4 linked regions of the Diceros bicornis minor genome follow. The protein of the gene in region 1 purifies or fractionates together with the protein of each later gene. This does not show direct contact. Links are inferred from orthologs where the notes say so. Each region holds a gene or a part of one and is shown on either strand. Other genes may lie near its edges. The genes, in order: SINHCAF, SAP30, SIN3B and TNRC18.

Region 1 (8,409 bases):
TACCTTGTGTCATCCCCTCCAGCAGCTTCCTCCCTGCCCCCATAAAAATCTCCAAGGCCCAACTCCCTTTTGGCTAGCTTCTTCAAGGTCATCCCGAGATAACGCAGTGAACAATTACCAAATACCGAGCCAGGCATACCTCTAGGGCCAAAAAAGATCCCCCTTCCCCAAATCATTATATAAATACTTTAAATGCCATCAGGCTTTTCTCCAACTCCACGAGAGACAACTCCCAGACTTTTAATTTAATTTAGATTGAGCAAGTAATAAACTGTTCGGTTTTGCAACAAAAATTATTGAAAGCCTTTTCAAGTCTGGCAAACTCCAGTTCAAAAACAGGTGCTTTCGGGATACTTTTAATGACAAGGTCAAATTCATTTTTTTAATTATTAAAAGAAAAACGGGGGGGGGGAGTTTTCTTAACCTTCCTTAGGACAACGTGACGAGCAGGGGGAAAGGACTGCTGGGGTGAAACTGTCTCGCCTAGGGTCCATGTTTGGCTAAACGGCAATTCCTAGTCTTCCGAGTGCCTGTAGTCACCGAAGGTTAGAGCGAGAAAATAAAAACAAAGAAACCTACTAGGGTCATAGTTACCAGCACAAACTGCACCACCCTACCACCCCAGAAACCACCCCACCTCACCCCCAGCAACCAAAACAAACGTCGCCCCTCCCGGTTCCCCCTCCCACACGTCCACACAAAGAAAAAAGCACGCACAATTCGGCCACAGTCCTCACTTCCCTTTGTAGGACAACAGGGAGCCCCGAAACTTCCCCACGGTGGTTTTTCGGGTGTCGTCGGGGCAGGGTCCCCTGAACGTCCGGGCCACGGCTCGGCTGCGGGGGAGAAGGGTGATCGTCGCCCTCGCCGGGTTCCCCGAAAGCAGCAAAACGCCTCCCCCGTCCTCCCACCGCCCTCGGGTCCCCCCGAACTGCGCTTGTCCCTCGGGCACGCGGTGACGGCCGCGAGAGAGGCAAGAAGGCAGCGACTGCAAATGCTCCCCGGGGGACGTGTTGGTAAAGAAAACAACTTGGGTCGGGGAGAAAGTTGCGGTGGAGAGCTGCTCGCGGGGCGCGGGCGGCGGGAGGCGAGCCGCGTCCCCGGCCGCCGCCCCCCTCACCTGCGCCGGAACAACGGGCCCCCGCGCCCGCCCGCCCGCCCGGCGCCTCCCGCAGGCCGCGCCTCCCGCACGCCGCGCTGCCGAGGCTTGTTCCTCCTCATGGCTTTGCCCTGACGTAATTCAAACATGGCAACAGTTCGACTTCAAAGGCGAGGCCACAGACCTCCCAGACACAGGCTCCGGGCTGCGGGTAACGGGCCGAGACTCGGGGCCACGCTCGCCCGGCCCCCCGGCGTCGCGGCAGCCGGCGTTTGCGCCGCAGCGCCGGGGCCCCCGCCCGCCGCCCCCCGCGCCCTCCCGCCCGCCCGGAGCGCGGAAGCACGCCGCCTCCCCGCGCACCAGCATGGCACCTCACACCGCAGCGCCGCCAAAGTTTCCCCGCGACGGGCCGAGGGACAAAAGCCCCTCCTGAAACTCGCCCGAACTTCGGGGGGCCCGGCCCGCACGGCGCTGCGCCCCGAGCGCCGGCGGGGCCCGCATGGGCACATGCAGCTCTTTGTTTTCTGTCCAGCCGGGCGCTGCCTACGTGCAGCAGCGGGGATGTCGGATTGTTTCTCAGGGGCGAGACCCTGGACGGTCCCCCCGGGGAAGGGGCCGGACCCCGCGCCCCGAGAGCCCGGAGCCCCGTCCTCCCCTCGGCAGCAGGCCCATTTCATCCAAGTTTTGCAATGTCCTTGATGAGAAACGCCCAGATGACCCGCCCCGCACCAGCGGAGAGTTGGCGACTTTCACTCTGCTTTTTAAACTGGCAAGACGCCATCATCGGCAAATCACATTGTCCGGCCGGCCGGCCCCGACAGCGGCCGCAGCGCACGGCTGACCCGGAGCCGGACACTGAGCCAGACCTCCGGCGAGAACCGGGGTCGCAGCCCCAAGCACGTGGTCTGTCATGTTCCGCACAAAAAGCAGTGCCCTGCGAGTTGTCTCACTCCTTCCGCGCAGACAACGCCGCCGCCGCCTCCATCCCCGAGTCAACTTGGCTCGGACTGGCCATCTTAAGCCGCACACGGTCGCCGAGCAAGCCGTGGCCGTGGCGCCCACATCTACGCTACAGGTGAAGAAATTGCGAGCAAAACTTGAGGCTCCGCAGCCACCTCGGACCCCCGCGCTGTTGGGCGCGGTCCGGGGGAAAAGGCGTCTGGGAGCCGGGGCCGTTTCCGAGCGGCCGCGTGTTGCTCTCATTGTCGCATCCGCATCCCCCCGGAGTTGGGCAAACAACGCCACGCCGCGTGCACTCCGGCAAACCCCGGCGCGGACCCCCAAGGCCGATTTAAACCCCCTCCCGCCCGCCAGCTCGCAAGTAGACGGCAACTTAGTTTTCGAGCGAATGGCGTTTATTGTCCACCCGTATCAAAACACGCGCAGGGGCTGCAAGAAACTCCACCACGAGGTGCAACAACGGCGCCGACCACTCCCGGGGCGCGCGCCCACGCGGGTGCACCGACCCGGGGCCCCTCCGCAATTGCCAGCGAGTCGTTTTCTCTCGGGCCTTTGGGCCACCGGGCTCCTTTTCGCCAGAGAACACTGCGGCTGAGAAAAGTCATTGTCACCTTCAACGTGGATCCCTCAACTCCAGCGACTCCTCACTCATCTCCAGGCGCCACTCACTTCCCCCACCCAAGACTTTCGGTTTCCCTCAAAGACCCTCCCCAATTAAAAGACACACTAAACCTGGGTATACAAAACATCTGGGGTCTGAAGATCACGAAAACAGCGTCCCCAGCAATGCCACCTCCAAGACAAAACTTCCTGTGTGTGTGTTGTATGTGTGTGTGTGGAAGGACTGGGGGAGGAGGGTGAGGTGAAAAAGAGAAAAAAAAAAAAACACTCAAATCAAAACCTCGTGAGACAGTTTTGCACCCGAGTCATGGTTAGAGCCACTCACCTTCCAAAAGCAGCCGTTCCACGCGCAAGAACGTTCCCGAGGTGCGGAATGCACGCCAGGCCAACCCCCCCTCCAATCGCTCCCTCCTCCTCAACTGCCTTGTCTAGAAAGATTGTCTCCTGCAGTTCTGCAGTTGCTACCGCGGGCCGGGAAGGTGTAGATTCCGCTTTCCCTCTGCGCACGCGCGGCTCCCGGTGCAAAATTCTCCTGAATCGAACTTATTTGCATACGGGGGCGCGCGCGTCGAGGGCTGGGAGGGGAGAAGGCCCGGCGGCCGCGCGCGTTCCCGAGGTCTCTATTGTCCTTTTAAGGGGAGAAGAGCCGCGGCGCGGGAAACGCGGCGGCCAGAGGGAGACGGGGGCGGGGACTGCTTACTACGGCTGACGTCACGTAAACAAACGCCCCCTGGCTGGAGGCCGCGGCGAAGGGGGAGTGGCGGGATGGGAAAGGCGGAAAGGTTAGCAACCCAGGGACAACGCTAGGCTGCGTGACGTGCTATCCGCCCTGAAGTTCTTAGGGCGCACCATTTCGCGTTGAAAAATAGTTTTGAAAGCTGTTTTTACAAGATTCTCACACCTGTGTCCAGTTTCTGGCCTGAGGTGACAGGGAAGGTGATCTTGCAAGCACCCAGACTGAATTTATACGTCTCCCACTTTTCCTAAATTGTGTTTGAAGTTGAGTTTTGAAGCTTTTTAAAAAATCCTCTGGGACCAGCAGAGGTTTATTTTTCGTGCAGTTTTAATGAGTCATTTCATCAAGTCCCTTTTTGACACTCTATCCATTCACAAACTCCCGCCTGCCATCCTCAAACAGTAACCCAACCCATAACAATCCAATTTTTTTTTTCTTCACTTCGGCCCTAAGATTACAAGCCTGTCGAGTTGAATGGTTGTTAATTTCCGTGGGAACAGTGTCGCTTTCCTAAAGACTAGTCAGTGGAAAGCCAGTAATCTGGGGACGTGCATACCTCCTCCAGCTGCTTGTAAAGGGTGTTCCACTCGCCCAGAAATAATACCACTCACTGGTGGTCTTGGGAATTGAGGAAGTAGCCAGTGAAGTGCAGACTTCCCCTTATGGAATGTGTAATAAGCCAACAATCTAAACACTTCTTGCCCCAGGAGGGGAAAAAAAAATGAAAAACTGAAGTAACTCTTCTCAGATTGATAAGTGAAAAATGAAAAACGATTGTGATACACCTTTATTCCAAAAACACACCTCACATCAATAGGCTGAGACCCTGATTTAATAATAGCGGGAGGGTGGGGAAAGAGGAAAGATGTTTCTCTAAGAAACTTACTAGTCCCAAGCTACAAAAGTGTGGACATCAGCCATAAAACTTAATCATCTGCTGACAAGTTTCACTGCTTTCACTGTAGTGTCAACAATATGGATTTAAATAGATACTTCTGGAACACTAATTTAATTCAACAGCCGATTCCTAGTACATACAAGACAAACCCACTTCTGAAGTTTTCAACCAATGCTTTTTTTCTTTAGGTTCTGTAACATACTATTTCTGTAACTGTATATGAAAACCATATATTAAATACCTGCAAAGGAGAAAAAACTGACGCCTCTCACTAAAATGTGAGCTTCCTAAGGGCAAGAATTTCCTATTGTATTCATTTTTGTACTCCAGTGCCTAAGACAGGGCACAGCAGATAATGGAGTCTGAATAATTGCTTGTAAAATAATAAATCAATGGACATGTTCAAATGTATTATAGATTTATCTCAAATCAAAACAGCTTTACTTTAGTTTAGAATTTTTGAATTGAACCTAAAATGAGTTTGAAAGTTATAATGATCACCTGGATTGATGTGATGCCTGTCTTTATTGTAACAAATAAAGCAGAATAGGCTTAATAACTATTTCTGGGCTTTCATTGGTGGCAAACAGGACCCTGAGCGTAAACTCTTACTTTCTTCTTTTTGAAGAGAATTTTAAAAAGTTGTCCTGAGCACTTGTTTGGTTTATGATAGATCCTCCAAAAATAATTTCAAATTAGTATATGCTTTTGAAAGTATGAAAATTGCAAGTATAATATTTTTCAAACTTCAATTATTGCTTACTGGATATATTTATATATTTTTTATATATATAAAAATATATATATTTATATAAGATATAAAGCTGTACCTTGAATGCCTTTTCTCTTGAAAGTTTAGTGAAGGATACATATTGTAATCCAGGGATGGAATGGGTTCAAATGTGCAAGCAATGAAGGAATTACAGTATTTAGGATATACTGTTCAGATAAGAAAGTACCTGGAAGCTTCAGAGGTACCGAGCTAATACCATACAGCAAGACTTCCTCTGCTCTCCAAGTAGAGGTCAAGAAGTAATCTGGGTAATTTTTGTAGGAAAGGTAACAACAAAATCCGAGAAATTTGAGTTCTTCAGACTCTTAAAAAAAAAAAAAAATCCCTGCTGTTTTTGAACAACCAGGTGCATTCCAAAGTTTCTTTTGTTCATTTGGTTGCTTGAACATGTCGTTGTGGCTGGCTCTTTCCAGGGCCAATAGCTCATTTATGGGGTACTTTAAAATACTATTATCTAAATAGCCCAAGTGAATTTTTCACCATAAAAAAAGAAAGGAAGAAAGAAAAGAAGTAATTTATAATATATAAATTTGGATTATAGGAGATTGAATTATACCATGTTAGGAAAATTGAGGGTTTTTTTTAATGACTGTAGTGCTATGTTGCACTCACACTGAGTTCTCAAAAATATTGAAATTGAAAATATAGTAAAAATTGAAATTGAAATTGAAAATAAGTTGCCAGATACTCTGGATAAGCCAACTACCTTGCTTATAACATGTTGTCCCTGCTGTAGAATTATCCATAATGCTTGAATCTTTACATTCATTTAGCAAACATTTAATGATCATAACTATGTGCCAGATAGTAAAACCATTTCAGAAGTGGAGGGGCTCAAGTCCCCTTCACCTCTTCTAATTTATTTCTATATAATTGTATTTTATTTGCTACTTTTTCTTCTGTAGCATTTATTGCCTTCTTTTGAGACTTAACTATTGTCAGCAACTGTACAATTTATTATAATATTCTTGGAATGGAGGATGAATTACATATAAAGGACTGAAAAGGACAATTCTTGCTTGGTAACGAAGGATATTATCAGCAATTTAGTAATGTTTGTAATGACAACTCAAACTAATGATTGTTTTTAAATAAAGGCTGATACCCTCATCAGACGCTGGTGCCAACCACATCAAAACATTTTTGTTGAGCCCAGGAAAGAGCTGATTATTATTATTAAATATTGGGTTTGGTTCCTTCACAGGTAATAGCTATAAAACTAAACCTTTTCCTTACACCAAAATGAGCACAGTATTGTGTTATTTAAATCCTTTTGATGTTCAACTAGCAAGTAGTCAGAGCAAATCAGATAATTTTAAGCTATAAGGTATAGAATTGGACATGTGATCTAAGCAATCCTCCAACAACCGTTGACAGCTGCTGCAAAAAGTTATCTATTACATAATCAAAATTAACTTTTCAAATTTCTGCACTTAAAGAATTGTCACAATTTTATTCTTAGAAAGAGTAACCTCTGAATTTATAGAAATTTTAAGTCATACTATCTTATGACATTATGACATCTTAAGCATACTATAAAAAAATCAAATTACTGGTAACAAAAGTAATTTTATTTTAAGAAGGACATTGACAAACTAGAATGAGTTCACAGGAGAGTAAATCAGGATGATGCAAGAGCCTGGAAACCACAGCATAAAAGCAATAATTGAAGGAGGGGCTGTGTTTTGATTGAGCAAGAGAGCAATCTTTGACTATCTGAAGAACCATCATTAGAAAAACGAATGGGCTTGTGTTTTTATGCTTAGGAACCAAATCAGTCTTGAAAATCGTAAGAATATAGATTCTTGCTAAACATCAGAAAAATTTCTAGACATACAAATGGTCCAAGGAGGGTTCAGGATACTTCAGAATGCAGCTGCCCATCACTAATGATGGTATCACAAAAATAAAACCAAGAATTTCATTTCAATGAATTACGTTATTTGCAGTATAAAGCTTGCTACCTCTAAACTCCTATTGAACTCTATGGATCTGTGATTCCATGGGATAAATGAGTGGTACCAACAATAAGTGCCTCAAGTTTGGGCAGGGATTTATCACTGTGGCTGGAGAGGTTAGGAAAGTCTTTTTGGAGAGGATGGGATTTGAACTTGGACATGAGTTTGTTCATTCATTCATTTAACAAATACTTTTGAGTATCTACTAATTGCCAGGCTCTGACAATAAAATGATGAACAATGCAGAAACAGTCTTTCATGGAATGTGGGAGGCAGGCGTTCCAAATAACCACACAAATATAATTAAAAACTGTGAGAAATAAAATTAAAAAAAGTAGTGTGAGCCTAACCATGTGTGGCAAGGGAATCTGATCTAATCTGGAGGTAAGAGAAAGCATCTTTGAGGAAGTGAAGTTGAATTATCAGCAGGATTAGATGGAGAATTGAAAAATGGAAAGAGGATTGAACCGGTGGCAACTTCAGGAACAAATTCATAGAAACAGCCAAAGTACTTGGGGTGGTGAGGAAAGGCACAACTAGGAGAAGAATCATGTCTTTGATTGAATAAATGTCATACATGAATCCTGTTTGAGGAAGAAGATAGTGTAAGGTGTTGGAGACCAAGAGAAATCGGGATTTAAGCCCTACAGATCTGGAAGTACCTACATTTGAGTTGGAAGTAGTCACATGCTAAAAGTACCCCAGCGACAAAAATCTATGATTAGATTACAATTGGTTTAATCAACATGTGTTTCTTCTATGAAAATTTATTTTTCTAAATGTCAATAAGAAATTGATCCCCCAGCCATGGAATCCACTTCCCGGAAGATCCACTGTTCTAATTATTCATCTCATTACTGAAGGCAAGCATGCCACATCATCAACAGATGAACAAGTGCACAAGCAGACACATAAAACGGAAAGTCAAAGAAACATGCTGGGTCGCCGTTTCTAAGAGCTTTGGGAATAAAATATCCAGGATTCTAGAAGAATTTGATATTTTGCTTACAGTTAATTAAAAAAAATTTTAATATACATTTTTAAGAATTTGAATTCTTATCATGAATTTTTTAAAAAAAGAATGCAGTATTGAGGCATAGATCAGCAAATAAGAGTTATTGGTTTCAAGGTTTTAGATGATACAAGCATTAATAGTTTATCTAGATATATTGTGAATCTAGCAGTGCTTTAGTGTTCCAGAAATGGAAATGCAAAGTAAAGCAGATGAAACAGAGATAATCAATGTACCATATTGCATTTGTGACAGTGGTTAGATAAGATGGTATCATCAGAGAGTAAAACATATTGCATACGTCTTCCTAGAAGGCAAGGTTTAGCGGATGA
Region 2 (7,402 bases), on another chromosome or scaffold:
GGCACAGTCCCACATACAGCAACTAGAAGGATGTGCAGCTATGACATACAACTATCTACTGGGGCTTTGGGGGGAAAAAAATAAAATAAATAAAATCTTTAAAAAAAAAAAAAACTTTAAAAAAAAAAGAATATGCTTAGAAAACTACACACAATCCATTGAATAGTCACTATGTAAAGGAATTTTCTAAGTGCAAACATTTCTAGGCAACTAGATTCTTCCACAATAGATTTTTTATTAACTTTGATCTTTCTAACTAAAATATATTACTATATACACTACGTTAACAATTTCATTAGCATTTAATGACCCTTTTTGCATGAACAGGCTCATTTAAAGTTTAAATAGTTTAAAACTCATATATACCTCAACAAGTTGCGCTTTATTAAGTCCTGGTCTGGTTGGCAGTTTGAAGTGTCTTTTGTATCTCCTAAGTGTATTTACTTGTAATTGGTATAAATCGACCTAGAAAAAATTAACATACGTGAATTAGTTCACAGAATCTGTTAAAAACTTATCTTTAATATGTATAATAACATTTCAATTTCAGCACAATAAAAACTTGATTCCATTATTAAAAAAGCTTTTTATACAATCAAAACTAAAAATGTATTAAACACTTTAATCTTTTGAGGATAAATAGTAAAAACTAGGGGCAAAAAAAAGATGTAAGACAACGCAGCTATGAGGTGTCAATTGAAAATATAACAAGTAAAATTGTGTAACTGCATGTTAACTGGCTATATTTAATTTTGCTTTCATTTTCAGATTTTTCAAATGCTTTAAGTATTTAAAAAATTTGTTAATATCTTTTTATAAAAGTTTCAGAATGGACTACTTAGGATTTACATTTAATATCCAAAAACTTGCATCTACCTCTGGAGTATCAATATCTTGAACAGGTGAATCTCCTCCATCATCATCACTCCCTTTTCTCTTTCTTCTGTTTCGAACACTTTGAATTAAGTTTTTATGATAATCACAAATGTAAAGATGCCTTGCCTGAAACAGAAAATTTCACAGACTACTTATGATTACAATAAAATGTTTCTATATATTTAGTAAAATACATAGGCCACAGTGAATTATTAAAAATAAAAACAACAGTCAAAACAAGCCATTAAGACAATGGCATGTTTCTTTCTATTCTTAAGTCCTGCACCCAGCTAAAACATACTAAGTCTTACAACACTGTTAAGAGGATTGGGGGGTAGAGTGGTGAGGGGTGACAGTAAAGGAGGGGAGGCAGGTAGAGGAGAATGAGAAATTTCAACCCTCTGGATTTAATCATCAAATTACAGTGAAGGTGAACTAGATTAGTTAGGTCATCCTGTTTTATAACAAGGGGAAAGATGATGTTGCGCACCATTTCGCTATTTGATAGTATTTTTTTCTACTTAAAGATCATATTTTAGTAGCATAATGTATGCTTCCTCATCTTTCTTAATACTCCGATTACAATCCAGATACAGAACTATCCATTTTTACAAATGTTATTGATTTCATATTCTAACTATATTTAAATTTGAATTATAAACTTTTCTGAGTATTAAATGTTACTTATCTGTATTACGTTTTTCCAATCAAAGCAATGTGAAATCATTCAAATTTACCTGAAAAGTTTCTCATGAACACGACCGAAGAACTAACTGTTTTAACAGGCAGAAAGTATCACAAATAAACTCTTCAAAAACTTTCATTACATATAGTCTTGAGAGCTGTATAGTAACATCTGAAACACGGAGCTTCACATTAACAGTTACTCTTTAAAAACCAATTAAAGACCGAGCTAATAGGCTTTTAAATTAACTTCTAAGCTATGTGCAAGTTAAAAATATGCCGGGCGTGTGCTAGGTTCTGACATCTTGTTATTCCTTTACCGCCAGGCAGAGCTCCGAAAACTGGCAATGGTTATTTCTAAAAACCTCTTTAGAGGATCAAAAGAACAGACGTGCAAAGGACGGAAAAGAATCCTGATGGCTGCCGGCGGACGGCAAACCCGCAGAGGCTACGTGCTCCGCACGTTCGGAGCGGCTGCCCCAGCCCCAGATGCTGACACCGCCGACACAGTTCACAGTCCTGGCTCCCTGCGAGGCGCCGGGTGAGCTCGGGTTCGTTCTCACTCCGTGCTCGGGGGAACGAGGAGCGGGATCTTGCTTGACTGCGGGGTCAGGTCCTTGCGGGACTCCACTTTCCCTAGACGAGGGGAGCTACTCCCTGGTGCCAAACGCCAGCTTGGGCAGCAAAACAAAGAAGGCGCCTCCATTCCAGAAGGCGCTGCCGGGCTGCAAGAAAACTACTCCGGGCGGTCCCCTTTGTTTCGTTTCCCGATCTCCGCGGACGAGGAAGGGGAAGACAGAGAGCGGGAGAGGCAGGGAGCGGGGGGGATGGGGGGAGGAGCGGAACCGCAGCGTGCAAGTGTGCGTGTGTCTGTTGGGGGTGGCGGTCGGAGTTGCAGCGACTTTGTTTGCTTCCTACCAGAGACCCCACAACGTGTTCGCACTGCAACCAGGTCCGGGGGGACCCCTGAAACCCCCGCCCAACAACCCCCGTCTGCACCGCTCCCGGAGCCCCAAGGGGGCGGGCAGGGCAGTCCCGTAGTCACTTACGCTCTTATCCAGCTCGATCTTCACCTTCTTCTGGGAGATGCTCTTCTGGATCCTCTTGCTGAAGCTGGCGTTGCCCGCCGCCCGGCCGCACCGCTCGCCGTCCTCCCGCAGACAGCACAGTTGCCCGGGGCCCGGCCCGGCCGCTCCCGGGGGCCCAGCCGCCGAGACCGCCCCGGCGCCGGGGACCTCAGCCCCGGCCCCTGCCCCGGCCCCGTTCCCCGCCGAGGCGGCGGCGGCGGCGGCGGCGGCAGCGACCACGGCGGCCACGGCGGCGGCCGCGTCCCCGCCGCGGCTCATCTCCTCCGGCGTGAAGCCGTTCATGTCTCTGCGCTCAGGGGCGCCGGCGCTGAAAGAAATCCTCGCCCGCCTCGCCGCTCCCTCTCTCTCCAGAGACGCCGGGGTCTCGGCGGGGTCCCTCAGGCACCTGCCCGGCGGCGGCAATTCACTCTGCACCTCAAGTCCTCCGACAGCACAGCACAACACCAAGTGTCCCCGGCCTGCTGGTGTCTGCCGATGCCGGGTCAGTGGACAGGGCTTGGGGTCGGGAACTAGCGTCGGGCGGCGCCTGGAGCCGGGACCCCACTCACTGTCACATGGAGACTCTTCAGCAGTTGGACCACAGCGCCTCCGCCTCCCTCCGGTTGCTCGACCTGCGCAAGCGCGAAGCGCCCTCTCCCGCCCTCTCTGCAGCAGGGCACCACGGGAATTGTAGTTCTCTGCAGGGGAGTCAACCTGAGCTCTGCTTTAACGCCGCGCGTCGCGGGTTGGAGGAACTACTTATCCTAGCATGCATCGCGCGACGGCGGGCCGGGTTTTTTTTTTCCCCCTTTTTCTTTTTTAAGCTCGGGGAAAATAGGGGCGTGTGGTTGTGGTTGCGTTGTTTTCTCTCTTCTTATCTCTCCCGGGGAGCTGTGTTGTGTTTAGCTCCTGGGATTCTGCAGAGGTGGCATTCTAGACAAAGAGGTCACTCAACTCCTGAGGCGAAGCACAAAATGCGGGGGGAGGAGAATAAGCGTGTGGGAAAAAGTTTCGGGGCCGTTTTTCTATCTGTGGAAAAAGAGTTTTTGGTGCGACCATGTTTTTGTGGGAAACTCAAACCAAAGAGAACTCAGGCGACCTGGCGCTCTTCGGGTCCTGGAGGTCCGGCAGCTAGCTCCACATCTGGCTGGCAGCTCCATTCATTGACGCACCAAATTGCTCAGAGCGCCTGCTTACGGGAAAACGCCCATCCCGACCTCTCGCCCTCCAGATGCCTCCGCTAAAGGCCGTTTCTAAATCCTTGCACGTTCCTGCAAGGAACGCGTTTTGTTCGCGGGCGCAAAGTCTGCTGCTTCCTGAGGTGGAGCTAGTGACTAGTTGACTGTAACAGGGCTTCTCTTCGCCTCCACCCCCAATCTTTTCAGTTTCTCCTCGAATGAACCTGGAGAAAGGCGGAGTCTAATATCATTTAAAAGGGGACGCGGAACCCCACAAATACCGAGTTAGCCTGAGTGCTTCCTAGAAACTCCCCAGCGTTCGCTCTGTGAAGCGAGAAGAGAGAAATAAGCCACATTTCCTCGGTGGTCCGCACGCGCGTGTGCGCTTGTGTTGCATGCGTATGTGTATGCATGTATGTGTGTGCGCGTATGTGTGCATGTACGTGTATGTGTGCGCGTTTGCGTGTCTGTGCGTGCGTGCATGTGGACGTGTGCTTGTGGAGGGCGGGGTAGAAGGATGGGAGCGGCTAATATGAATGCTGCGGTTGTGCTAGTTACGCTGCGTCGTTATTTATCGGTAGATATATGCTGTTAACAATCCCATTGTTTGAACAAAAATACAAAGCAGTATTATTTTGCAAGTTCCTGTAGACTTACAGAGTAAATTTAGTGATAGACGATTTTTTTTTTTTAAACGTATAATGTCATCTGCCCTGAAATTTAAAGCCACCCGTTCCATCTGTGTGCTTCGGTTCTAGGCTATGGCAAAGGAAAAAAAAAAAAGAAAGAAAGAAAATATTACGTAAATTGAGTAAGCAAAAGAAAAGCGCTGAATGGTAAGTACTTTGTGTTATCTTTTTACGCTGCTCTGTCCAATAGGGTGTCCTCTAGCCATATGTGGCTATTGAGCGCTTGCAATGTGGTTGTTGTAACTGAAGAACTGAATTGTTAATTTAATTTTAATTAACTTAAATTTTAAAAACTGATTTCAGTTATTGGAAAACTTTTAAGTATATTTGGAACAACTTGGATATATGAATCTGTTTTTTCAACTTAAATTTTATGTAATCTAAATTTAAATCTAAATCCAAATTGAGATGTGCTGTAAGTATAAATTACCAAGGGGATTTCAGACTTAGTACCAGAAATTTTTTAAAAAAAGAATATTGAATAGCTTATTAATAATTTTTATATTGATTACATGTTGAAATGATAATATTTTGGATATACTGGGTTAAATGAAATATAACATTAAAATAAATTTTACCTGTTTCTATTTTTTTAAATATGGCTACTATGACATTTAATATTACACTTGTGGCTCACATATTTGTCTTAGATAATGCTGGTTTAAAGTATTAAAACAGAATAATACTATCGTTTATTAATATATTTTCTTAAATGGTAAAAATGAGAGCATGTGGAAGAGATGGATATGCTCCAAGGGTGGTGGTCATCTCTAAGGAGAGAGGCCAAGGGATAGTATCTGGGAATCAAAGGTGGTCTCTATGGTATTTGTAAGTTTTTTTTTATTAAAAAAACATCTGAAACAAATATGATATTGGGTTGTTGGATTTTCATTTTTTCTTTCTACTTTTATGTATTTTTTAAATAATTCATAATTATTGTTTGGTTCTTGCCCTTAAAAGTTTATAATCTATCTTCTGCAAAATGTGATCAAATTAGTTCATGTATATACTGTATGTATGGTTTAGTTACGTATCAGTTTCATATGAATTTTACTAAAGTGATGAATTGTAGTTATATGCTTTCTTTACATACAATACAGTCTTTTCAAAAGGTCCAATTAGGGCCGCCCTGTGGTGTAGGGGTTAAGTGTGCGTGCTCTGCTGCTAGCGGCCCGGGGTCAGATTCCATGGCCCGGGGTCAGATTCCATGTGCGCACTGACGCACCCCTTGTCAGGACACGCTGTGGCGGGTCCCAGAGGAAGATGGGCACGGATGTTAGCCCAGGGCCAGTCTTCCTCAGCAACAAGAGGAGGATTGACACAGATGTTAGCTCAGAGCTGATCTTCCGCACACACACACAAAAATAAAAGGTCCAATTAAACTCTCCTTTATTGCATACTAGGATCTTTTCTAGGCCTTGGGGATACAAAATTAATTGGGAGAGGGTCCTAGCCATTTTGGAGTTCTCTGTTTAGTAGGGGAGATGGGTAGCTTAACAAGCACATGATACATGCTGCTGTAGACTGAATGTTTGTGTCTCCCCAAAATTCATATGTTGAAACCTGATCCTCAAGTGATGATATTTGGAGGTAGGATCTTTGGGAGGTGAATAGGCCCTGAGGGCTGGAGCTCTCATGAATAGGATTTGAGACTCAGAAAAGAGGCTCCAGAGAGCAACCTCATCCCTTCCACCATGTGAGGACACAGTGAGAAGACTGGCAGTCTATGAACCAGAAAGCAGACTCTCACCAGCCACAAATCTGTCAGCACCTTGATCTTGGACTTCCCAGCCTCCAGAACTGTGAGAAATAAATTTTTTTTGTTTATAAGCCACCCAGTCTATGGTATTTTTTTTTATAGCAGCCCAAACAAAGACACATTCCTCAATAAAATTAGAGAGACTTAGCACACAGGAGGAAATGATTCATTTCTGGCAAGTAAAAAGCATTCCTGGAGTAGATGACATGTAAATTCTCCATGCCGGATTTAAAGTATTTCTTCTGTGAATCTATTGTCCATACAAAGAAATTTTCATAACAACCGTGGTTCATTGTTTATTTCTACAACTCTTCATATCCAGGGCAGGTAAGAATTCCTTGCTTTAAGAATAATTTACAATCAAGGTTGGAACCACGTTTTGGGAAGCTTCAAGCTCATAAAATTTGAGTCTTTAAGAAAAAGTATATAAAATTAAGAATGCAAAATTAGGTACAGGCCTGTCCAAGTGAAGGACTATGAACTTTACATCCATTAGCTTCATTATAAATGTACTTCAGAGTAGATAATATGGAAATATAGATTTATGAAACCTAAGTTATAGGAGGGTTGTTGATATCATCAAAATATTCTTTGCTTTCTGAAAAGATTCAAAATATGATTCTTTAAAAAGTATTTTTCCCTGCCTTTCTTCTCTCTAAGGCTTTTAACATGATTGAATTTTTCTGGTTTTATTTTTAAATAAAAAATTAAATGTAAACAATTAATTGTAAATTTTAACTTACAAAAATATCCAAATTGGCCCATAATCCTAATATGAACATGATTTTAAGTTCAAATAATAAAAGGTTCAATATGAAAAACAGAAGCCTGTTTCCCCTCATCTCCTCAAATCCCTGTCCCTAAAAGCAAGCAATGTTAACAATTTCTTGTTTCCTTCTAGAAAAAAATTATATGCATATACCAGTATGTATGTATATATATGTTTTTTTTCAGCTAAGGATCACACTGTTTTACACTATGCTTTCTTTTACCTAGTTTAAAATATAGCAAGCGTACCAAAAAAGTGCATAAAACGTAAATGCCCAGTTTAAGCAGTTTTGGTGAAATAAACATCTATATAACTGCTATGCAAGTCAAGAAACAGAACACTGCCAACAGGGCCAACTTCATGGGCGTGCAACCAGTGCA
Region 3 (7,734 bases), on another chromosome or scaffold:
AAAGTTTAAGGGGGCACCAAAAACCTCAGCAATCAAATAATATTTTATTACCATACTTGAAAAAAATCAAAATGAATAAAAAATGCATCATAAACAAAATGTCAACATTTTAAATAAAAATGGCATCTGATCCTGCACTTGCATGAACTTGCCTCACTCGCCTCACCCTAATTCCAGCCCTGATGACACGGAGACACCTCACCCCCCAAGCGCTTCAGGACAGGTCTCTTAGGAAGGAGGTCATTCTCCTACATAACCACACACACCTCTGCAAACTAACAATCGTTATTTAATATCTTTTAAATAGGCATCCCTAATTTTCCTAATTAGCCCTAAAACCTCTTTTATAGCTGTTTCTTTCAAGTAGGGTCTAATTAGGATTTGGTTATCTCTTTAGTCTTCTATTCTAGAACAGGAGTCGGCAAGTTACTATCTGCAGGCCTACTGCCTGTTTTGTGAATAAAGCTTTATTGAAACACAGCCATGCCCATTCACGTACCTATTGCCTATGGCTGTTTTCATGCTACAGGAACAGAGAACGTATGGCCCCAAAGCCAAAAATATTTACCATTTGGCACTTTACAGAAAAGTGTGCTGACCCTGATCTTAAGGTTTGATTAGATTCAGGGTAAAGATTTTTTTAAATAGACTTTTTTAGAGCAGTTTTAGGTTCACAGCAAAACTGAGCGGAAGGTACAGAGATTTCCCATATGGCCCTGCCTCATGCATGCAGAGCCTCCCCCACTACAAGTGCTACATTAGTTACCCTTGATGAACCCACATGGACACATCATAATCAGAGGGGAAACATTTGTGACAAGGCTACTTCATAGGAGTGTTAGTTGCCTATTACTGCATAACAGATGACCACAAACTCCACAGTTGAAAATAACAGCCATTTATCATCCCACAGTTCCCGTGGGTCAGGAGTCCAGCCACAGTACGGCTGGGTTCTCTGTGCAGGGTCTCACAAGCTGTCATCCGGGCTGGAATCTCATGGAGAGGCTTAGAAACCCCTTCCACGATCACTCAGGTGGTTGGCAGAAGTGAGCTCCGTGCAGCTGTAGGACTGTGAGCCTCAGTTCCCAGAGGCTTCCTCTCTCCATAGGCATCTCCCCACACAGCTGCCTCCTCCTTCCAGGCCAGGAGGGTCACACCTGTCTGCTGCTGCGAGGCTCTGACCTCAGACTGTCTTTTAAAGGGTTCCCCTGATTAGGTCAGGCCCACCCAGAATAATCTCCCTTCTGATGAACTCAAAATCAACTCATTTGAGACCTTAAATACACCTGCAAAATCCCTTCACCTTTGCCATGTGGCATGCCCTAATCTCAGTCCAGAGTGGGGGATCAGATAGGGCATGCACACCAGGGGTGGGACTCTCTGGGCCCATCTTAGAATTCTGCCACAAGTCGTGATTCTGGGCTTTAGAGATTTTTGTCATAAAGCTTACCACCTGAGAAGACTTAGATTAGTTCAAAATAGGATCTTTTGATCTTGTCCTCTCAACCTTGCTAAAATACCGTCCAACGAAAGACCTACTTGCGAGTCTTATCTTAATGCCATTAAATCTGTGAAATGGTAAGGAAATTTGTGTTCCAGTTTGGTCTATCCAAACTGTCAACTCTAAGGTGTTCAATTTAATCTGTGTAGATGAGAATAGTAAAGGAAAAAATTCAACTTAGCAACTTTTTATGCTTTATAAAAATAAGAATGAAAAATGTATGTGTACCATTGTCCACATGTTGAACACACACTCACACACACACGTGCATACACACGTGCCCACAGGGAACTGGCTTGTGGTTTCCTGTTCTCCGAATGACTGAGGGCTTCCTCTGACCATATGAGATCTATGGAAAGTATGAAAAACTGACAGTGGTCCTTGAAATTTGAACAGAATCCACTCCTTGGGGAAGGGGGGCACTGTTGTGAGGACCCTGTTGGCATGTCAGATGCCCACACAGGCCTTTGGTCCTCCAGGACAATGACTGATAGGTTGCCAGGCAGAGTTAGTGTGAAAAGGACTGTCCAGACATCTGGTGGCCTCAAAGGGTTTGGGCCACCTTAGCTGCTGTTCATATGGGAATGCGCTGAAACTAGGGAGGATTCCTCCCTGGGCTGGGAGCCAGTATCATGGATGCTTCCTTCCCCTCACCCCGCACATTCACCCAGCACCACATCATTTCTGCTTTACCTTCTAAATATCTCTCTCTTCCATCCCCTCCTCTCCACCTCCACTGCTCCCTTCCTGGTCTAAGCCACCAGCATCCTTTGCCTAAAGGATGAAACAGCCTTCCTGCACCGTCCCTGGCGCCCCTCCCATCACTTCCCTGCAGAGCAGCTGGAGCATTCGCTTCTACATTCAAAGCTGCTCACGCAGCTCCTTGCATTAAACCCATGCGGTTTCTACCAGCGCTAAATGCCAAGACCAAAAGCCTTCACTCGTCCCAGAAGGATGAGTGGACTGCCCTCGCTGGCCCCTCCATGCTTATCCTGCACCCTCTCTCTCCCCTTCCCATTCCTCTGCAGTCTGAGAACACTGGTCTTTTTTTTTTTAAGTTATTCACATGTGCCAAACTCCCTCCCACCTGAGGGCCTCTGCACAGCTGTTCTCTCTGACTTTTCTCATGGCGAATGCATATGCATCCTTCAGATCTCACTTAGAATGCCACCTCCTCTGGGAAGCCTTCCTCATCCCCTGCTAGACTGGCTCAAGTCCCCCGGGTGGCAGGTGCTATTTTCCAAAAATGGTCATGGCAATATTTCTTGTCTCCCATACTATTCCAGAACCTGGCCACGCCCCAGGTTCTAGAGTCTGTTTGCCCTCCTCTTGAATTTGGGAGGGACTTTGTAATGGTCATTATGCAAAGATTGCAATGGAGATGATTCTGCGTGACTTCCGAGGCTGGATCAGAAAAGGCAACGTGGCTTCCACCTGGCTCACTCCCTCCTCGCAGATGACTGTTCTTGGAACCCAGCTGCCATGTTTTGAGGACACTGGGGCTGCGTGAGGAGGCCACATGTAGGTGTTCCCGGCAACAGCACCAGCATGGGTCTCAGCCTACAGCCAGCAGCAACTGACAGAAAGATGGAGTGAATAAACCTTCAGAAGGCTCCAGTCCCAGCCACCCAGCTGACACCAAGGGGCCAGTGATGAACTATTCTTGCCAAACCCGCCCAAATTGCAGATTGGAGTGCAAAATGAACGTTGTTGTCATTCTAAGGCTCTAAATCTGGGGTGGTTTGTTATACAGCCATAGTAACTGGAACATAGTAACTGTTACACTTGTACTTTCTCTTTGAAGTGTCTGTTACAGTTGAAGCTTTACATTTGTGTGTGTGATTATTTGATTCCTCTCCTTCTTGAAACACTGAAAACTCTATGAGGGCAAAAGCCTTGTCAGTTTTGGTTACCATTCTATTCCTGACAGCCCAGCACAGCGCCTGGCAGATGATGCACTCATTGCCAGTGTACACTCAGCTTTCCTGCACCTCTTCACATACAAAAAGAGATGCCATTTTGTCATGGATTGAATGTTCATTCCTTTAATAAATGCTCACTGATGTGGCTCTGTATCAGGAATTTGTGTTAGAGATGAAGCACAAAATGCAGGTGATGTACAAGGAACTGTGGGAGGGCAAAGGGGGGCTGGGGTAGCTTCCTGAAGGTGGGGACATTTGGGTTGTGTTTTGAAGGATGTTTAGGTATTTTCTGGGTGATGAAGAGATAGAAGAGGGCAAAGGAAATGGTATGTGCTGATGCATGGGGCCAGGGAGCAGCCGGGCTGGGCAGGCATTGGCAGGAGGTTCTGCACAGATAGGGAGGGCAGCTTGCTTGGGTGGGAAATTCTGCAAGAAAAAATTCACAAGGGTCAGGTTCTTATGGCCTTCAGTGCTGCGTGTAGGTGCTTAGATTTCTCTCACAAGAAAAAGGAAGACCTTGGAGGTTTGGAAGCAGTTGTGGAACGATCTCAGTTCTTGACAGCACTGGGGCTGGGAAAACCGGTGAAGAGGCTGCTGAACTGGTCTAGTGGGGAAGCGACGGGGTCAGGACGAGGGGAGTGAAGACAGGAGGAGGCAGACTAAGTCAAGAGCCATTCAGCAAAACTTCACCGCGCAGGACCCTATGTTAGGGTGCTGTGTGCTCATACCCCATTGTCACATCAACCCCATAAAGCACAGGGTTTTTCCACGCACTGCATAAAAATGTCCACAAACGTTTTTTAGTAAATATATCAGGCTCTGCAGATCTTAGGGTTTGTCACAGCTATTCACCCTGCTGTTGTAGCGCAAAAGCAGCCAGAGATGATAGCATGTAAACGAGTGGGCGTGCCTTGTGCCAATAAAACTATATTATACAGACACAGAAATTTGAATGTTATAGAACTTCCAAGTGTCACGAAATAATGTCTTCTGGATTTTTTCCAACTTAAAAAAAAAGTAAAAACCATTCTAAGCTTGCTTGCGGGGCCGGACAAATGCAGGCAGCACGTCTTGCTTTGCCCAACCGTGCTGTATAAACCGCATACCGCATTAATCAGTATTTCGGTTTTAGGGGCAAGATCCCACAGCGAAGTCCTCAGGAGCCCCGCCCCTCCTTAAAGTCATCAAGCCCCGCCTCCGGGGCAGAGCCTGCGCATGCGCAGCCGGCCCTGGGGGGGGGGCGCGGAGCGAGCCGCGGCTCCGACTTCCAACATGGCGCATACTGGTGGCGGCGGCGGTGGCCCCGCGGGCCGGGGGCTGAGCGGCGCCCGCTGGGGTCGCTCGGGCTCCGCGGGCCACGAGAAGCTGCCGGTGCACGTGAGTGGCGCCCCTGCCCTCCCGGGGGGGATCCCGTTGTCCGGCCCCCCCAGGCCGGCGCTCCTCACCCGGGCCCCGCCCGGCCCCGCCTCGGCCTCCCCTCTGGGCAGCCCGGGACCCCGGACCCCCGGACCCCTCACCTCGGGCCTTCGGAGGCCTGGCCTGACCCCCTCCCCCCCAGGGACCCTCGTTCCTTCCTCCGCCGACCGGGACCCACTGGGACCCTCCCTCTCCCCGCAGGTTGAGGACGCCCTCACCTACCTGGACCAGGTGAAGATCCGCTTCGGCAGCGACCCTGCCACTTACAACGGCTTCCTGGAGATCATGAAGGAGTTCAAAAGCCAGAGGTACCGGCGGGCCCCTCCCTGCCTGGGGGGCCGCCCTAGGCCGCAGTCGGACCGAGCCGGCTGGGAGCCCCCAGCCCCGCTGCCCCCAGCCCGGTGACCTTGCGCAGGTCGTCGAACCTCTCGGGGCCTCCGTTCCTTCTAGAAAAGGAGATTGGAGAGGCCCCTCCCTCCCTCGTGGAGCTGCTGTGGGGCTTCCTGGAAGAAGGGCAGGGGTCGGGGAGAGGCGACGGAGGCGGGTCCAGCAAGCACAGGGTCGGATCCCATCTGTAACTCAAAATGCTGATTTTTAAATGAATTTTGTTCATCAAGAATTTTTTAAATTAATTTTGATTTTTTTCCACGCACTGTATTAAAATGTCATTCATCTTGATTATTGAATGTTTTGGCTCCCTCTCCCCCTTAAATCTTATCCCCAAGATGAGTGCCTCCCTTGCCTCACCCTGGTATCAGGCCTGCTGGAAATAATGTGCATAAAACGCCCGGTAAGAGACCTGGCACGTAGAAAGGATCAAAAGTACATTAGCTGTGTTTTGTAGGTGAAGAATCGGTAGGTTTAGAGATAGACGGGGGACCTCATGATCACCCCCTTGTTTGACAGAAGGCTCACTGAGGCTTAGAGTGGGCCAGGGGCTTGCCCTGACCCTCCTTAGGGGCAGAGATGGCACTGGAACTTGGGTCCTCTGGCTCTCAGGTTCTCGACTGTCACGTCCTCACCATGGTGCTGCCCTCTTTGAGGAAATGTGGCAGGGTGGCTAGGGTTCCTTCCGCAAGTGGGATGCTAAGGCCTTGGGTCTTGACTGCAGCCATGAAGGCGACCCCTCTCTGCCCTTGCATTCTTACCAGACTCCACGCTTGCAGGCTGTTTGGTATTTATGTGTTGCATTCAGTTGTTGGGATCAACTCCTGTGGCATTGTTGATCCCTAATTCGTACGAAATGAAGGAATTTATCACATCACTTAGAAGGCTTTGGCCTCCTGCCACTTTTTGGAGTCCAGGACTGGCAGTTGCACTCCTGACATTTTCAGAACCAAGCTCATGTGCTTGGAGTGTTTGGGGAAGCTGTGTGGTGTAGATATTCTGTGGTTCTCGCCAGGAGGGCACAGGGAGCCCAGGCCTGGCTGCTCTCATGTTAGATCACTGCCCGCAGAATCCTACCAGTCACATTTTAGGGTGCATCGTGCCCAGTCCAGAAGCTGGTTACGTGGCACCGTCAAAGGAGTCGGGAGTAGATTTCGCTTGTAATTTGCTCCGCAAGACACTTTTGCCCACTGCTGTTCTTTGTTCCAGCATCGATACTCCTGGAGTCATCCGCCGCGTCTCACAGCTCTTCCAGGAACACCCTGACCTCATTGTCGGATTCAACGCCTTCCTTCCCCTCGGGTACAGAATTGACATTCCGAAGAACGGCAAGTTAAACGTACAGCCGCCTCTGTCGAGCCAGGTATGCAGCGGCAGTGGTTGAGTGACCTCGGCCCTCACGTGGCCATGCTGGTACTCAGGTCAGGCAGTGGGCCTCATGTGTCTCCTTGCCGGAAAGCTGGTGAAGAGCTGATGTTTTTCTAGGCGTGCTAATCGCTTCTAGCACAAATAGATCAATAGATCAAAACACCGCCACAGGCAGCCTCTGCATCCCAAATTGATCCTTTTGGAGGGTTTAAATGTAGAGTGGATGTGTTTGTGTGTGTCAGGGAGGCATTCTCCTCACACAGTTTTATGTCCAGTCAAAATAACGGTATCCACAGTCGCCAAGGGCTTGGCTTGAGGCTGTCCTTGTGAGGGCGCTAGGCAGGCCACGCTTGTGCTTGGGCATGTGGTCCCTCTGGTCACCCTCCATGCCACGCACAGAAATAAAGCGGTTGAGATGCGTGTATGAATGACCGTTTTTATTTTTGCTGTGCTGCCCGCCCCGTGGCTTAGCGGTTAGGTGCGCGCGCTCCGCTGCTGGCGGCCCGGGTTCGGATCCTGGGCGCGCACCAATGCACCGCTTCTCCGGCCATGCTGAGGCCGCGTCCCGCATACAGCAACTGGAAGGATGTGCAACTATGACATACAACTATCTACTGGGGCTTTGGGGGAAAATAAATAAATAAATAATTACCAACAGGGCGTTTGGCTCAGCTCAGGTTTGTAGCTTTGGTCCTTCTCTCTTGGGTGACAGCTAACCTCTGTAGTCCCTTCTTGCTTGATCTCACCAGACCCCCTGAGAAAAAGAACGCCTATTTGAGCTTTACTTTTCTAGGGTAACCATTTTTTTTTTCTCCACCTCGGCCCTGTTGCCATTTCAGGCATAATGTTTTGCGGCAGTGGGGCGGGGTGGGAGTGAGGGTGGTGCGGGCTGTCCGTTGCCGTAGGGATGTTTAGCAGCATTCCTGAGTCCACACACTAGGCCCTCACCCAGTGGGGACAGCCAAAAATGTCCCCAGACATTGCCAAGTGTCTGCTGGGGGCAAAATCCTCCCCCCACCCCCAGGGGTTTTAGCAGAGAAGGTAAAAATCTATGCAGGAAGCATTTTGCAGGTTTCTCCTCTGCTGAGGACGGTTGCAGTGTGTATCAATGAGGGAGTCAGGATTTGGAAATAGAACGGT
Region 4 (7,905 bases), on another chromosome or scaffold:
GACACCCTGCTTGGTGCTCTCCGCGTAAAACAAGCCCCCCCTCCCCGCATCGTGCGCCCGCAGAGGGCTCCAAGGGCAGAACGATGGCGCGGGATTAAGACGGGGTCTTCGGAGACCCCGCGGGGCAGGGCGCTGAGTTCTGAGAAGCCGCTCTGACCCGGACCCTGGCGTCGCCCCTCGATGGTGCGAGTGGCCTTGGAGTTGGGCTCAGGCAGGTGGTCGCGCGCCCACCCTAGCCTCACCGAGCCTTCCCAGGAGTAAGTGCCCGGCTCAGCACCCCTACCCCAGGCGGCGATCCGGTGACGCCCAGGTTGCTTCGGGGTCCGGCGACTGCGGGGAAGGATGATGGTGGCACCGAGTCGATGGGGCCGTTCCCTCTCTTTGGCGAACGGGGGAAACTGCTGGCCTGGCTCCCTGCACAGTCTCAGGGCCCCCAGGCGGTGACCGGGAGAGCAGGGCGCCCGGTGCGGCCCGGGACGCGAGGCTGGCCCGGAGGACCCGCGCGTGAGCAGCAGGAAGGAGGGCGCTCGTGGAGATTTATGGCCGCTGCCGGCTCTCGGCGCACCGAGCTCGTCTCCGTCCTCTCCGAGCCAAACAGTGGAGTGGAAGACCCGACCCGGGCCAGAGGAAGAGGCCAAGGCCGGAGGCGGAGCCGAGAGGCGCAGGGATCCGCTGGGGCCGGGCCTGGCGCTTCACCCCTGGTCTGCCCGCCGTGATCCCTGATCCCCGTGGCGTGCGGCGCTCTCGCGCCGCGTCCCTGGTCTTTCTGGCGAGTCGGGGCCGCTCTCGGCTGGGCTGGCCGACCCTCGGCTCGGCGCCGAATCGCGGCTGAACCAGTCGCAGCAAGGGGACGGCGAGCATGGTTGTCCCGGGCGCGGCCTCTCCGGGTTTTAGCAGTGCCCGGGCCGGGAGCGCCATGGTTCCCGGACCTGGAAACTGGCGCCTAAAAGACGCGGCCAGGGCTTCCCGAGCGGGCAGCAGGGGCCGGCGATCGCCCGAGGTCCCCTTCACCGAGAAGCTGGCGGAGCGCGGGGACTTCGGTCCCCACCGGGAAAGGCTGTTCGGGTGACGGGTGGAGGTGGCTCGGGTGTCCTGACCTAGTAAAGGATGATGGTTTTTTTCGGGGGGAGGGGTATGGGGAAAACGTGTCCACGCAGCCAGCAACAGTGGGATTTCGGAAAGCGCCGGGTTCGGCCCTGAATAGAGCAGAACTGACCAAGGCTCGGGGGCAGAGCCCGCGTGGCGAAGGCGCAGCCGGGCGCAAAGTTGGCCTGAACTTTGGTTTTAAAACAAAGGGGAAGAATTTTGTCAGTCGGGCCGCGTCCACGGAGTCAGAGAACTAGGAACACACAAAAGGCCTCTGCTCCGGCGGCCCAGGCTGGCCGCGGCTGACGGCGCTGGCCTGGGCGGGTTCTTCGGCAACTGAGGTCTCAGGGTTGCCAGGTCCCCCATCCAGCCGATTTTCCGCCCAGTCAGTACGAAAACACACACATACACACAGTGCGTCAACACACTCTTTCTGGCCACTGATCCCGCCGGTAAACAAGCGTGTGGGGGGGAGGGGGACGGAAGATGGCGGCCGGACCGGGCGGACGGCGGGGCTGTTCCCCGCTCCGCGCAGGGCTCCCAGGCCCGGTTTTCACGTTTAAATGCGGCTCACCAGAGCGGGGACGGCGTTTCCCCAGACCCCAGAGCCCAGCGAGGAATGCCCCAGAGGCCCCCTACGAAAGGCAGGGGTCTCCGAAGGAGCACACCCGCCACTCGGCTTGGGATCCGTCCCCCGCCCCAAGATGGCTCCCGGCCGCTGTTTACCCGCGACTGCGGGGGCACCAGGGTGCTGGGCCAGGGAGGGCGCGAAGATCAGGGCGCGCACCCTCAGCACGCTTGCAGCCCGGGGAAAGGTGCGCTCTGCGCGCCCCGCCCCGCGGCCGGGAACGGAGAGCCACCGCCGCATCCCCAGGCCCTGCGCCCCGGCTGGGCTCTGGCGGCGTGGGGGCTCGAGCGGTTGCCGGGGTGTGTGTGTGTGTGTGTGTGTGTGTGCGCAGGGAGGGGGGCGCACGGGGGCTGGGGCCCACAAAGGCCGGGGACGGGGGGTGCTGAGGGAGGGGACCTTGCCTGCCCCGAACCTCGGCCCTAATGAAATGCAGGCTCAGTTGGCCACGCCGACAAGGAGCACACTTGGAAAATGCAAACGCCATTGGCAAATCCAGGGCAAACAGGCAGAATTTTTATTAGCAACTAAATGATTTATGGCACACATACCCCGCCGTCACAATTACGGCGTCTTGGAGCATCCAGGGGTGAAAACATTAAACATTTATAAAAATAGGCTTTTGTTTTTTTCCACCCCTCAAGCCCTTTGTATTCCCCACCCGAACTCGCTCAAGATACATTTTTTTTCCTTGAGCTATATTAAAGTAAAGAAAAACATTCCAGATCCAGGGCGGGGATAATGGAGTGAGGGATCCGAGTCTGGGCTCCGAATACTGGAGGGCAACCAGGGGGGTGGGGAAGCGATGGGGGCCGGCTGTGGGAGGGTTTACTAGGAACCCACAAAGGCCTCTGGATAAGACTCGAGGACGCTCGGCGCCCACCCGGGCTGCGCCCCCACGCACGGCCCCTTTCCCTGCCTTGGCTTCCAGCGGCCCCGCGCAGCTCAACTGCATTTATTATATTCCTGCAGTCACCCCGCCTCCCCCAAGGCACACAGACACAATACCTCCTTTCTCTAACCCCCTACTCCTCTCCGTCTTTGCTCCTGGCCGTCCCGGGGCTGCACCACCGCCCTGGCCGCTACTGAGACCCATGCGCCCTGCTTCAAGCGCGGACACCGCCGCTCGTTCCCCTCGGCTTCAGCTATTTTCGTTCCTTTCTTTCCTTCTCACTGTTCCCTCCTCCCCCCGCGGAGCTCCAGCTTCCAAAAGAGGGCAGCCTAGAAACCAGCGCAGGAGGCTCCAGGAAGGGCAACTTGAAACTGCCCTCAAGAGGCCGAACTTTTTTCCTCAAATTTATACTGGAATTAAATTAGACACCCCCAGTTCACTCTCGAAGCCTACCTCCCCCTTTTTTTTTCTAAAAGTGGAGAAAGGAAAATAGAACGAATGGGCGCTAACTAGCTCATTTTTTTCCCTTCCAGAAAAGTTGCCTTAAAAATGTCTTAAAAAAAAAATAGAACGAGCGATGCGAAAACGCTGAGTCCGCATCGCGAGGCGAAAGAGCGGGCTTCTCTTGTTTTTAATTAAAATCTAATCACCGCGGTTGCTCTCCGAGGCAGGATCGGCAAGGATTTCTGCCCCTCCAAGCTTCTTTTTGAGGGTACGTAATGCCTAGCCGGGCATGGGTTCCCGCGGGGCTGCAGAGAGAGGGTGCGGGGCCCCCAGGGCGGCCCCTCTGACCGCGTCTGCACTCCTCGCGCCCGCAGCCAAGAAGGTTGCCGTGGGCAGCTCCCGGCGACTCAACCCAGAAAGGATTTTGCTGAAAGCGCAAAATAAAAGTACAAAGTCTGGGGGATTGGGGCTCCCCTCCCCCTTCGGCCGCCGCGGCCAGCCAAGCACTTTTTGGGCTTGGCCGCTGCTTCCTCTGAGCTCAACAGATTTTTTTTTTCCCGGTCTCGCCCTCCCTGGAGGGAGCGCGGCGGATGGAAGGCGAGAGAGGCCCCCAGCCAAGAGGTTTTTAATATTACACTTTAATAGGTTTCAGAAGGCCCCGTGGAGAAATGCTAATAGGCTGAAATGTCAGAATCGAGAGGGAGTCAGTTCGCGCTCAGCCGATCTAAACCTTTTTTTCTGCTCTGATTTTTTTAGGGGGGAGAGAAGGGGAGGGGAGCGCCCACGCAAAGAGAGCTTTGGGGAGGGGCGCGCTGTGCGAAGCGCCGCAGCCCCGGCCCGGGCCAAGCAGGGGGCGCGCCCCGGCCCGCGTTTCTATAGGAACCCCTTTTAGAAGATTAGAGACTCACCCGCTGCCCGCCGCCGCGGCCTCTCCAAAATATTAATCAGTAACCATCTGACACCGCGTTTCAGGGAGGGACCCGCAGGCCGGGGCTAGGAAAACGGCCTTCTCGCCTGCCCATCCCACCCAACCGCGCTGCTCGGGAAGAGGGAATGAATCGCTGCTTTGTTTTAAAAGGGAGGGGGGGAAAAAGGGAAAAAGCAGCCCTTGTCTGTTTTGGCGTCTCCGCCGCGCGTTCTAGAAGGCGCGCCCTAGGGGAGGTGGGGGGCTGGGGCCCCGGAGTGGGGTACAGCGCGCCAGGCCCCAGGCCCTTCCCCGGCCCGCTCGGCTTGTCACCTCCTCCTGCGAGCAGGAAGCTGACAGGCGGCCCATTAAACCGCGCCTTGCAAAGCCCTGGATTGCGGCGACAACCATCTTCCTCTATTTTGATCGCTCAGCCCAGACGCTGGGGGAGGAGGGGAGAAAAAGGGAGGAGAAGGAGGAAGGGGGGGTCCGAGCTGGTGGAGGGGGAGGGCTGCCTAGAAACGGCCCGGAAAAATTCTCACCACCAGTTTTGATCATTCAGCCCCGCCGAGGGGAGCCTGGAAACTGCTGGAGCCCCTTGGTCCGTAATTGGTTTTATAGGAATGGCTGAGGGCCAAGGTGTTTACATGCGCGTGATTGGCGGCGCGCGCGGCCAATGAGTGGAAGCCGGGGGCCGGCCTGGGGGGGAGGCGGGCGCCGGGGAACAATGCGTGTTTCTTCGCCGCCCGAGAGTACTCCCCTCCCCCAGCCGCCCCTTCCCCCCCGCGCTGGCTTTTTTTTTTTTTTTTTTTTTTTAGATCCAGCGAGAGGAACTTGAAAGGGGGGTTGTGTAATGTACCTTTTCCAATCCCGGGCTGTATATGGAGATTTGGGATTCTTTAAACCGGCGCTACCTGGATTTTATTAAAAAGCGGGGAGCTCGGCGGGAGGAAAGCTGGCTTTTCCGGGGGCTGCGGGAGCCCGGCCGCGGGAGGGCGGAGGAGTTGGCGCGCCGAGCGCTCGGCCCGGGGAGCGGTTTTCTACCAAAAAAAGGAAAGGCGGGCAAAAAGTGTGAGGCGGCTGCGGGTGGCGAAGGGGAGCAGCGGCCGCGGGATGGCGGGCAGCACGGGCGCCTAGCCGCGCCGGGAGCCGGGGCCGCCACGGGAGTCGCCGTCGCCAGAGCCCGGACCCGGGAGCCCCGCCGCGCCAGGTACGCCGCCGGGACGCCCGCCCGCCGCTGGCCGGGCGTGATGGTCTCCAAACTTCTCCAGCTGGTCCTCCATCCTGCCTCCCCCTCAGGGTGCGCCGGGGATCCCCGCAGTTCTCCGACCGCCGAGAAGGGAATCGGGGACCAGGGCCGGCGAGGTGGGGGCGCCCTGGGAGGGGTTGGGGCAGGCCGTTGCGCCCCGGGCGCCCACCTGAACCCCCAGCCCCGCTCCAGCCCGCCCAGCCGGGCCGAGGGGCGTCGGTTCCCTTCTCGGTTCCCAGCAGGCGGCGGGGGAGCCAGGGACGCCGAGACGTTTTCGATTATAGGCTGTTTTTAATTAAAAGCCGGAATTCAGCCATTTTAACTGCATTTAAGAGGGGGAGAAAAGTAGGGAGAACGCAGCGGAGCCCGCAGATGGCCGAGCCAGCTTCTGCCGGAGCGAGGGTGTTTCGGGGGGCTTCACCCCGACTTCCCCGAAGTGGGGCGCCGGGGCATGCTCCGAAGCGCTGGGTTTTAAAAGAAAGCTACATAAAGAACATTTTTTAAAAAATCACGGAAAGCTCATCGCCTCCTTAGGACATGTATCCTCGGATGTGGCGATCTTAGATTTTTCCAAAGTAAACGCGGATCTGGTAACGAGAGCCTGATGGGAGGGAGAGAAGGAGGGGGTGTTTGTAACCAAAACCGGGTAAAAATAAGCACCCTTAGCAAAGTTGGAGAAGGAGGCTGGGGGGTTTTGGGCTGAGGGGGTCGGCAGCTCGGGGGGCTGGGCTCCGCTCGCGGGGTGCAGGGCGCAGGGCGGGCACCCGGGAGCCGGTGGCTTTGGCGTGATCCAACGCTCTAGGAGCGTCCGGGCCTCCCGGAATCAGGCATCCGAGCTGCTGCGGGCAGACGGAGAGCGAGGGCGGGATTGGCTCCGAGACCCCCCCCCCCCACGGGAATCGGCAAACGACAAATCTTTTAAACAAACAGCTTTAAACTGGAACTGCAGGGGGATTTACCCAACGCTGGGGAAGGCGCCCCTCGGTCGGCCTGCGCTGCGAAGCTCTCCTTTGTAGGTTATTTTTGGGGTTGGGGGGAAGCTGGGGTAGGAGCGAGACCCTTGAGCCCCTTCCTTCCCCTCTGACGCCCCCTAAATCCCCCGCACCAGGCCACGTCCTCGGGCCGCAGGATTCCCAGGCCAGGGCGTTGGAAAATGAAACCAAAGCTTGTTTTGAAGGATTCTTGCCAGTCCTCGGGCGAGAATGCCACGTCTCGGGGCCTTGGACCTAGACTCTGCGACTCCCAGTGGCCCAAAGGGGGCGGCAGGAAGGAGCGGCGAGTCTCCTTAAAAATAACAAGCTCGCTTTGCACCTCTCTTCCGAAAAAAACCCCACGAATTTGACGGCTCCAGGCGAGCTCGGGGAAACCAAACTCAGAAAAGGGAGGCGAAGGCCCGCAAAGGTTAAATATTAAACTTTCCGGATCAGGCAGTGACATAGTGTTTAGAGAGACATTTCAAACTGCTCATGGAAAGGTTTTACGGTTTGAAACCCCGGAGCATGTGACGCCGACAAATCAAACCTACTCGGAGGTTTGTATTTATTAAGTCCGGGCGCGGCCGAGGGGCCTTCCCCAGCTTCGGGAGGACGCGTAAGCCGCCGAGGCAGAGTCCGGGCAGGGGCGCAGCGCGCCACCGGGCACTTCTGAGTCGGATCCCCGGGAGCCTCAAGCTGCCGGAGGAAGGAACATGGATTTTTACTTTTTATGGAAAAGGGGCTACTCTCGATTTCATTTCTGGCCACCAGATTGGCAGCCCCCGATCCCGAACGTTAAGACGACTTTCTGAAACTTGTTTCTTTTTTTCCCCCCGTTTGTCCCCTTCTGTTTCTTCCGCGGCCCGTCTCCTCTCTCCGCCAAGACGCCGTGTGCGCTGCCTTGCGCAGCTCCGCCTGGCCGCCCGGAGGGGCCCCACCGCCAGCCGTCTGTGCGCCCCGGGCTGCGGGCCCGCCGCCGAGCGCAAGCCCCGCTGGCCGCCGCCGCCATGCACGCCGCGGAGCCCCCGCCGCCCGAGGACTCTGGGACTACGCCGAGGCCGAACTTTTAGGTCCCACTGAGCGAGGCCCTCGGGCCGGGTGGGGGGCTGGCCGCGGCACTCCCGCGGAGGATGGATGGCCGAGACTTCGGGCCCCCGCGGTCCGTGCACGGCCCCCCGCCGCCGCTGCTGTCCAGCCTGGCCATGGATAGCCACCGCGTGGGTGCGGCCACGGCCGGTCGCCTGCCCGCCTCGGGCTTGCCCGGCCCGCTGCCGCCGGGGAAGTACATGGCCGGCCTCAACCTCCACCCGCACCCGGGTAAGTGCCCTGCGCTATGCTCGTCCTTTCCTCTCCCTCCGGGATCTTGGGGAGGGAGACCTGGGAAAAACTACTCGGCCTGTCCCAGCCATTTGCGACGGGGACGCGGCGCCCCCCTCTCCTTTAGCCGGTCCAGGGGAGTGCAGGCAGGCTCAGCTCCCGGGGCAGGGAGACCCCTGGGCTCAGAGCAGAGGCCAGTACGGAGGCCCCGGCGGAGAGGGGCGCGCGGCTCGCTGCCTTCCCAGGCGAACCAGTCTCTCCCAAGGCGCACGTGTCTGGCGAAATCGGAGCCACTAGGGACTATTCCAACCCTCGAGCCCCTGCGGCTCGAGCTTGGGCTGGAGTTTTTAAAATCTGGGCAAGAAAAGAACAAACCAGCCCCACATCCTTTGAGACTTCTGCTGCCCGAACTCG

Evidence for each region.
Region 2: the proteins of SINHCAF (region 1) and SAP30 purify together in Homo sapiens (affinity purification with mass spectrometry; 4 studies listed by BioGRID and IntAct, counting the BioPlex papers as one, with this or other methods). This does not show direct contact. The link is inferred for Diceros bicornis minor from reciprocal best matches to the Homo sapiens genes SINHCAF and SAP30.
Region 3: the proteins of SINHCAF (region 1) and SIN3B purify together in Homo sapiens (affinity purification with mass spectrometry; 3 studies listed by BioGRID and IntAct, counting the BioPlex papers as one, with this or other methods). This does not show direct contact. The link is inferred for Diceros bicornis minor from reciprocal best matches to the Homo sapiens genes SINHCAF and SIN3B.
Region 4: the proteins of SINHCAF (region 1) and TNRC18 purify together in Homo sapiens (affinity purification with mass spectrometry; 3 studies listed by BioGRID and IntAct, counting the BioPlex papers as one, with this or other methods). This does not show direct contact. The link is inferred for Diceros bicornis minor from reciprocal best matches to the Homo sapiens genes SINHCAF and TNRC18.

Annotation. Positions count from the first base shown.
Region 1 is NC_080756.1:32,379,778-32,388,186, reverse strand, and holds the start of SINHCAF (SIN3-HDAC complex-associated factor), read right to left. Parts: upstream 3,135-8,409; 5' UTR 3,006-3,134; intron 818-3,005; exon of another isoform or gene 718-817; intron 1-717. UniProt on the Homo sapiens protein: Subunit of the Sin3 deacetylase complex (Sin3/HDAC), this subunit is important for the repression of genes encoding components of the TGF-beta signaling pathway.
Region 2 is NC_080750.1:59,892,495-59,899,896, reverse strand, and holds the start of SAP30 (histone deacetylase complex subunit SAP30), read right to left. Parts: upstream 3,226-7,402; 5' UTR 2,931-3,225; coding exon 2,610-2,930; intron 1,003-2,609; coding exon 877-1,002; intron 466-876; coding exon 367-465; intron 1-366. UniProt on the Homo sapiens protein: Involved in the functional recruitment of the Sin3-histone deacetylase complex (HDAC) to a specific subset of N-CoR corepressor complexes. Capable of transcription repression by N-CoR.
Region 3 is NC_080759.1:4,917,020-4,924,753, forward strand, and holds the start of SIN3B (paired amphipathic helix protein Sin3b), read left to right. Parts: upstream 1-4,685; 5' UTR 4,686-4,695; coding exon 4,696-4,800; intron 4,801-5,040; coding exon 5,041-5,147; exon of another isoform or gene 5,148-5,298; intron 5,299-6,435; coding exon 6,436-6,589; intron 6,590-7,734.
Region 4 is NC_080765.1:9,768,928-9,776,832, forward strand, and holds the start of TNRC18 (trinucleotide repeat-containing gene 18 protein), read left to right. Parts: upstream 1-4,768; 5' UTR 4,769-5,161; intron 5,162-7,058; 5' UTR 7,059-7,304; coding exon 7,305-7,491; intron 7,492-7,905.